Caenorhabditis elegans: one gene and its partner. The protein of the gene in region 2 purifies or fractionates together with the protein of the main gene of each other region. This does not show direct contact. Each region holds a gene or a part of one and is shown on either strand. Other genes may lie near its edges.

Evidence for each region.
Region 1: the proteins of phat-4 (region 2) and F18H3.1 fractionate together in Caenorhabditis elegans (co-fractionation; one large-scale study listed by BioGRID). This does not show direct contact.

What each region holds. Positions count from the first base shown.
Region 1 is NC_003284.9:13,517,681-13,522,078, reverse strand, and holds F18H3.1 (SPRY domain-containing protein 7), read right to left. Parts: upstream 2,417-4,398; coding exon 2,278-2,416; intron 1,632-2,277; coding exon 1,515-1,631; intron 1,444-1,514; coding exon 1,289-1,443; intron 1,067-1,288; coding exon 983-1,066; intron 796-982; coding exon 679-795; 3' UTR 561-678; downstream 1-560. Other genes in the region: cdk-4 (Cyclin-dependent kinase 4 homolog), read left to right, coding at 3,175-3,300.
Region 2 is NC_003283.11:4,127,671-4,131,493, reverse strand, and holds phat-4 (ShKT domain-containing protein), read right to left. Parts: upstream 1,591-3,823; 5' UTR 1,557-1,590; coding exon 1,467-1,556; intron 1,408-1,466; coding exon 1,146-1,407; intron 1,092-1,145; coding exon 697-1,091; 3' UTR 585-696; downstream 1-584.

The DNA of each region.
Region 1 (4,398 bases), on a different chromosome or scaffold from region 2:
GAACTTTGAAAATGAATATCTGACTTAAAATGAACTTTTTGAAAATGTTTCTTCGGGGACTTGTTTCAAATTTTAAGCGCTTTCAGAATTTAATAACAAAATTTTTCCAGGTGCCAGAAGTTTTAGGTTCAATCCAGAAAACTGAATTTGAGCCATATAAATGACCGCATTTGTTTATTAGGAGATTTATTTAGTTTGTGTAACTTTGAAAATTAATATCTGACTTAAAATGAACTTTTTTGAAAATGTTTCTTCGGGGACTTGTTTCAAATTCTAAGCGCTTTCAGAATTTAATAACAAAATTTTTCCAGGTGCCAGAAGTTTTCAGTTCAATCAAAAAAACTGATTTTCAGGATCAATTTTAAAGTTATGAAATGTAAGTAAATATGAAAACAAATAATCGGTTATATTGCATCTAAAAAAGTGCGGTCAGCCACATGCCTAAAATTTCAGATTTTCTGTTTGAACTGAAAGTTTGTATTAAGTTAGTATTTTTTACTCTCCATCACGGAAATTGTAACTTACAATTTTGAAGTGTTAATTTCAATACTATTTGATAATAATAAGAACATATTTGTTTAGATTAAATTAAGGAGTTTCAATGAAATTCAAAATCATTATTGACAAGTCACAAGAGCGAAGGAAATCACGGTCAATGGTTTTAAAATCAGGCAAGATTTATAGAATAGTTTGTTCCACGAGAATTTCTCCGAATCCCGCTGGTGGAGCTTCCGTGAAGTTTTTGAATTTGAGATCGAGAATTGCTGAGTCGTCAACATACACCATAGGGTAAACCTGAAAATGATAACAATTTCAATAAAAAAATTGATTAGGAAAATTGTGGTTTGTGTCCAAATGGTTGCATTCCAAGCCAGGGATCATATTAAAAAGTTGAGCGCAACGAATGAATATTGAATCTTAATCTTATTAGGCACTGTTCCTAAGTGATTTCTTAATCCCTTCAAATAATCTCTTGGCATACCGGGCCTCGAACTCCAGTTATCACATCTTCCACTGCTTTTCCGTTTACATAGAACTTGAGCTCCACGTGGTCATATGCAACACCCTGAAAGGTTGAGTTTTTAACAGATTTACTTGGTAACAAATAGTTTAATACTTTTGTTTTTTTTTCTTTAAACTTCAAATTATATTTGAGTATTTGCAATCGTTACTTGAAATTGTATCACATTATTTGTATTCCATTGTAAGACATGTTAAGCTTTAAAAAAAACTAGCAATTTGTTTTGAAAGTACGAAATAATTCCATTTTTCTGCTTATAAAACGCACCACAACATCTCCTTCCTCCACAGTTTTTGTCATTTTTGCCACGACCTCATTTTCCTTTGCAATGTCTCCATTATCTCTGATTCCCCAAAACTTTTCAGTGCATGGGACTTTGTCGAATGGTGATTGCTTTTGTCCTAAGCCTATTCCCCATGTTCCTGAAAATAAGACATTTGTACTTTTTTAATTTCATTTGAGGAAACACTAGTTTTGAAAAACAAAAACTCACCGGTTTGTTGAACTGTCACTTGGAAATATGCTTTGTTTTGCACAATTGGAACAGTTGCAATCGCTCCTCCAATACCGCAAATTCGTTCTCCTTCTTTGAGAATAACTACATTTTTACCTATAAAAAGTTTAAAGTTCTTTTTTTTTTGCTTTTTTTTACTACATAGCGTATTTAGTAAAACATACTCATGTTAATGAAACTTTATCTGCTGGATTGTTAAAGGTGGAGTAGAGTCAAAAAATGTTTTGCTTTAAATGGCAGAAAATAGACCCTAGTGACCGAATATGACTGTGAAAAATATTAATAAAAACATTTTTCAATTTTTTATAAATTTTTTCAATTTTTCAAAAGTCAAAAAAAAACGCCAAAATTAAGTTTAAATTTCCGCGCAAATGAGAGACGTCATTTTTGATATTCTCACGTTTTCTGGCTGAATGCTAAAGTTTTTTTTCAAGTTTTTTCTCTGTATTTGGCTCTGTTTGTCAAATTTTCCAACATTTTTCCAAAAAAACCATATATAAAAGAATAATCAAGAAAAATCGACGAAAACGCGAAAATACCAAAAATGAAGTCATTCATTTCATTTTTGAGAAATTGAAAAAATTTTTAACACTTAGTTTTTTTTTTAAATATTTTCATTAGGGTCTATTTTCTGTCATTTAAACGAAAAAAAGTTGACTCTACTACACCTTTAAATATTTGTTTAAAGTGTGAAGATTTTGGAACGTGAACAAGCCAGCCAACTTTAAGTTCAAAACCATACCCATTCTCCCCACATCTAGTCGTACTGTTGGCTGGTAGACTGCGTTAAATCGTGGATACGAGGCATTGTCAAAACTGGAGCCTTCCACACAGTCGAAGCACGGTGCCAAACATGAAAACCAACCACGGATATTGTTCATCTGAAAATTTAGTGCTGGATGGTAAAATATTACACGCGTTTTCAATTAAAAAGAAACAAGGGGGAGTGAAGATGACAATTTTTTACTAATTACAAATATTTGTTATCTGTTGAAAAAAGAGTGTTATGTTTTCAGTTAATACCTAAATTGTTTGTCAAATTGAGTCATTTGTAATCTAGAATGAACAATTACAACTTTAAACTCATAAAAGAAAGTTGCGAAATTCGTATAAAGTATGAAAACATCAAGCAAAAACATGCATGTAGTTCGAGCTCATCACGTTTGTCAATAGAGCGCGTTTAACGCATTCTGTTTTAATGGTGGCAGCGGTGAGAAGAGTCGGAAGGCAAGAGAGCACGCGAGAAGAAGAGATGACAGAGAGCTGACTTGAGATAATGTGCGCTGGTTTATTCCCTTTGTGTCCGCGCTCAGGGGGACACCAGCTGTTGTAGAACCACCGAAGAATTGCCTACCGACAGTCACAGTCCATCTTCTTGCCAAGGTTGCCCTTTCTGTTTCTTTCTCTACCATCCTCCGCTAACCGAGTGCTCTTTACCGGCAGACAGTTTTCGCTGCAGAGGCAGAGGAGACACACCGCTCTACCGTCTGCCAGCAATCTCTTTCTCGTTCGCCCGCCAATAAAATCGGATTTTAAATTTGAATTACATAGATTCTTAACTCTTGCAACATTATTTTTTTTGCCTCCAATACCACGTTAGACACTTTTGAATGTTAATTAAAATTTTTTCAGATCCAAAATGTGCGAGAATCTTTATGGAGAGGAGTACAAAATGGAGATCCTTCGACTCCAAAAAATGATGAATAATATGACTTGCGGACAGATGGCAAAACCCTTGACAATGAAGGATTTTCAAATTCATCAGGTATGATTGGAAAAGATTACAGTTAGAGGACCAAAGAAAACTGGGTCAAGGAAAGTGTGCGGTTTTTGAATATTCAAGGTTGTTGAAAGCGCTTTCTTCGGAAACTTACGCAAGTGCAGTCGCAAAAGTGCAAGAGGATTAGATGAAGATTTTTTTAACTTTCGAAATTTGAAGATAATTCCCAAAGTTTTCACAAGAATAGAAAGTTCGTTGTTTTTTCGATGATAGTGTGAGAAACCTTTTGAAAACCGTTCAGTTTTGAAATGAACAAGTTTTCTAAGTATGTGACTAATTACTCACTTTTTGCAATCCAAACAAACTAATCAAAGTATTAAAATTTGCGTAATAAGAAATTATTTTTGAAAGATAACTATGGTGTGCTCAAAACGTGCTCAAGAAAAATATTTGAAAGTTCCCTGTCTAATTTTTTTTCCTGAAACAAACTTTTGTCTCTACCAAAGATTTTTCGATTCCCTAAAGACGTACACATGTATAAGCTTTTATCAGTGTCGGCATGTAAAAGAGAAACAAATGGCAACATTTCTGCTGAGTTTGCGTGAAAGTCAGTCAACGCCAATGACGAATAAAAAGAATAGAGGGAAGGCGGCAATGAGATTGTTTGCTGCGAAACATTTTTTTTTTGCTTCAAAATAGTTTATTTTGGTTTCAGATTTCTATGGATAAATAAAAAATGAGGTCATAAGTTTCGTATTTCAAATTTGAATCAAAAGATCTAGAGCAAAACAAAAGCCCGCAACATGTGAGAATTTTGAATATTTGAATACATTAGGGAAGGAGTCTGCAGTGAAAAATGAACGTGGCTCTGAATTTTTATAAGGATTAATTTGAGTGATTTGATAGCTATTATTGTTTCTGAATGTAAAATATATCCAAAGTTTGATCCAACTCGATCCAAAATATATTACCCAATTTTTATAGTCGAAACTAATAATTGTTAGGCAAAATTTTGGCAAGAAATTGTCTTCGAATAGAAATTTGCCCTTATTTTTAGTAAAACTGAATAATGACAATCCGACATATACTTGCTATTAGAAAAAAAAGTTTAGAACTGCCATCAGATTTGAAAACTTTTCTGCG
Region 2 (3,823 bases):
TTTGTTTGTTTGCATCATTGTTAGTTTTCAATTATATTTTTCTTATTCAAGTTATTGAATTCAAAAAATAGAAAACAATAAAACACACGTACTACCAAATTATTCACGTTTGCATAATGACTTCCCGCAGCTGATGTCATAAGCCAATCAGCTAATCAAATTATTCAAATAGTAGAAGATCAAACGTTTAAAATAGTTTTAACTGCGATATGAATTTAAAATGAACCGAATTTTTTGTTGCAGTTATGAAAAATAATCTGTATCGCCCTCTATCGCCTTTTCCTTAACAATGCTGATAATAATGTAAAAGCCAGAATTCTGGCCTCCCGTTACCCATTTTGTCACTCATAAGACACGTAGGTGGATAGACACACATCTAGTGGAACATGACCTACACCTGCCTACCGCCAAAATGAACTTAAACCTTTAGTCTTTAATAACCAAAATGCTTGTTAATACTTCTCAAATTCTGCAAAAAACCACGGTAAAATAACTGAGAAAACGGAAAAGTTCTGGTAGGTATAAGGTACAAGGTACGCCTGAAAACATGCCTGTTTTATTGTTGTAAACTGTTCACCAAAAACTTGCACGTTAAAACATTTATTGTACGGAAGGAATGGTCAGTTCCATAGTCACCCGATGTGTGTCTTGAAAGAAGTAAGGAGAAATGTCAGAGAAAATTGATAAATTAATAGATTAGCAGAGTCTGCAACTTGTGGCACATCTGGATTTGCGTTGAGCAGCTGTGTAGAAGGTGTTGGTGCAGAATCCGTTGGCGGCCCAAGCTGAGCAAGATGAGCTGGAGTCGGCGGCGAATGAAGTGCAAGATCCCGAAGATGCAGTGGTGACAGTTCCGGATCCAGTTGTCGATGGGCATCTTCCGCAGGTTCTTTGGCAGTATTGGTTAACGAAATCTTGCATTCCGACGGTTTGGCAAATGCTCAAGTCGTTTCCGCAGTTGGTGACAGCATCGACGCATCCTCCCTGGTTGCAGAATCCGCAGGCAGATGGGCAGTCAGCGGCGATGATGGTTCTCCAAGTGACAGAGTCGCATTGAGCCTTGGTGATTGTGTTGCAGTTGAGACGTGGGACTGAAAGAAGTGGGAGCGTGTTTTAGGAATACTAAAATAAAAATAGGAACTTACAAGCAACATTTGGACAATTGTAGGCGTCAGTTGAGCAGCAGAATCCACAGGTCTTGGCGCAGTTGGCCAAGGCAGCAGTCTTCATGTCAGCAACAACTGGAGCAGGAGTTGGAGTGGCAGTTGTGTAACAAGCAAATGGTCTTTCAGCATCATTTCCAGCAGCTGGGTATCCAATAGCCGCATCTGCTGGTGGGTAGAGAGCAGCACACGATGAATCGGAAATCGAGTTCGAGCAGGCTGTGGCGGATGGGGTGTAGACGAACTGAAATTTTAATATTCTTACTATTAGAGGCCCTTCGAAACGCTATCCTAAAAACATACCGCTGTTCCATTGTAAGTAGTACAATTCAAGTCACCACCAATAACGGCGCTGCTGAATGGGACGAAGAAGAGGCTGATGAGGAAATACATTGCTGGATGAATTGCTGTTGAAATTCTTGGATGATTACTCGACAAACCGATATCTCTTATATACTCCTATTCATCATATTTGATCACCTGTCTGACAATAGTGCACAGCGATGAATTCATTGTTTCCATTTTACCAACGTTTTTTGCTTGTTCAAACAATGTTAGCTTTCCATGCAATCATTCATTTGTACATTAAAAATCACAACGCTTTTTATTCGATATTTTTACTGGATTGGTCAGTTCCGTTAGAATGAATAAGGTAATTGGGTTCAGAAAGCGTCACTGGGCTGGAAAAAAAAATGGGGCGGGGGTGATAAATTATGTGAAGACAAAAATTAGCAAATCTTGCAGGTCGATGCACAATAAGATTTTCTCTGAGCACTGGTGTAGAACGCATTGGTGCAGAATCCATTGGCCGCCCAATCGGAACAGAGAGATGAACTGTCAGCATTGTAAGAAGTGCATGTGGAGGAAGATGAAGCTGTGGAGCTTGAAGAGGTTGTACTTGATGATGGGCATCTTCCACATGTTCTTTGGCAGTAGGTATTCACGAAATCTTGCATTCCAACTGTAGTGCAGATTGAGATATCAGTGGCACAGTCAACAAGAGCATCAACACATCCTCCCTCGTTACAGAATCCGCAAGCAGATGGGCAGTCGGTGGCAATGATGGATCTCCAGATGATAGAGTTACATTGAGCAGTGGTGATTGTTGAGCAGTCGAGGCGTGGGTCTGAAATTGGAAAATAATTTATTGGTGGAATTGTTAGAGGAGCCTGCTAGGTTAGCCTGTCGATGAAAAAAATTTTAATTTCTTACAAATTCTCACTTAAAAAGTTCTAACCCTTTAATGGGTTTATCTGATACATTTGAATTTTTAAAAAATGTGTTCAATTTGATATATTTTACAGATCATTAACAGGTTCTGTTTTTGATTTCTTTCGTTTAATTGATCATTAGAAAACTTTGATGATCAGTTTTTTACCTGTTTTTGTTTGTGTCAATCTGATAGTCGGCTTCGATCAATGTATATGTAACTTTATCGAAACATTTTAATTTATTTTTAAATCTTAACAATTTCCCTTTAAGATTTAATTTTTCATAAAGGAAATTTCAATAATTATAACATTAATTGAAACTTTAAAAACGTAATTGTAGTTTTTGTAGTACCCCAAGTCAAAAACCATTGGGTTCAGTGTTCGGAATACGTGACTTTTGAGAATCGATTTGCCGTAAATGCCTTATAACAATTCGTTCACAATTACGGAAGTAGAATTCACAAAGTAACTATTTCAAATTGGTGTTAATCTCTTTCAAACTCATGAAGTGGCCCCACCTATTTCTTGGATTTGATGCAATTGAATTTTCTTAGAATTTTCAAACATTTACTGCAACTGTATGCATCAGTTTGGCAGCACAATCCACAAGTCTTGGCACAAGTCTCCAAAGCAGCAGTCTTCATGTCTTGAACAATAGCTGCTGGAGTAGCTGTGGCGGTTGTGTAGCAGTTCAATGGTCGTTCAGCATCGGTTCCAGCTGATGGGTATCCGGCAGTGGTGTCTGGAGCAGCGTAGAGAGCTTGGCAAGCTGCATCAGAGATTGTGTTAGAGCATGCGACAGCGGATGGGGTGTAGACGAACTGAAAATCGATAAAAGGTGAAGATAACTTAAGGTTTTTAGGTACTGGGAGTTGCTTTATGTTTAAAAGTTGTTTGAAACCAAAAAATTGAAAAAACTGCTTGACTTGAAGTTTTGAAAATTTGAAGAGTGGACGATTTTCTATTTTCAAAAGAAATCTTTGAGTTTTGTGGATTCTTTAAAAATTAAAAAAAATCAAAAATTTGTGTGACGTTCTTCCAAGAAACTCTATATATACTGAAACTTATGAAGTTTATAATCGGAAAGTTCTACGTTAAATTTTGCTAAAATTCTAATTTTTATGTTTAACTGAAAATATTTTAGACTTCAAATTCGTACCGAAGTTCCATTATAAGAAGTACAGTTCAAATCACCAGTAATGGCTGCGTTAGCGGTCAATGGGACCAATAGGAACGAGAATATGAAAATCATGATTGATTGATGACTTTTCGAGAATATTTTTTGGTTTATATACCTCCTTCCTCTTGTTGCTGATCAGTGAACCAAATTTAATTTCAAAATTTTAGAAATTTTGTACCAGAACATGCAACAAAGAGTTATCCTTTTTTGTTTAACCACGTCAACTCGAAGAGCATTGAAATTAGGGAGGGTGCAGTGCACGGTCACCA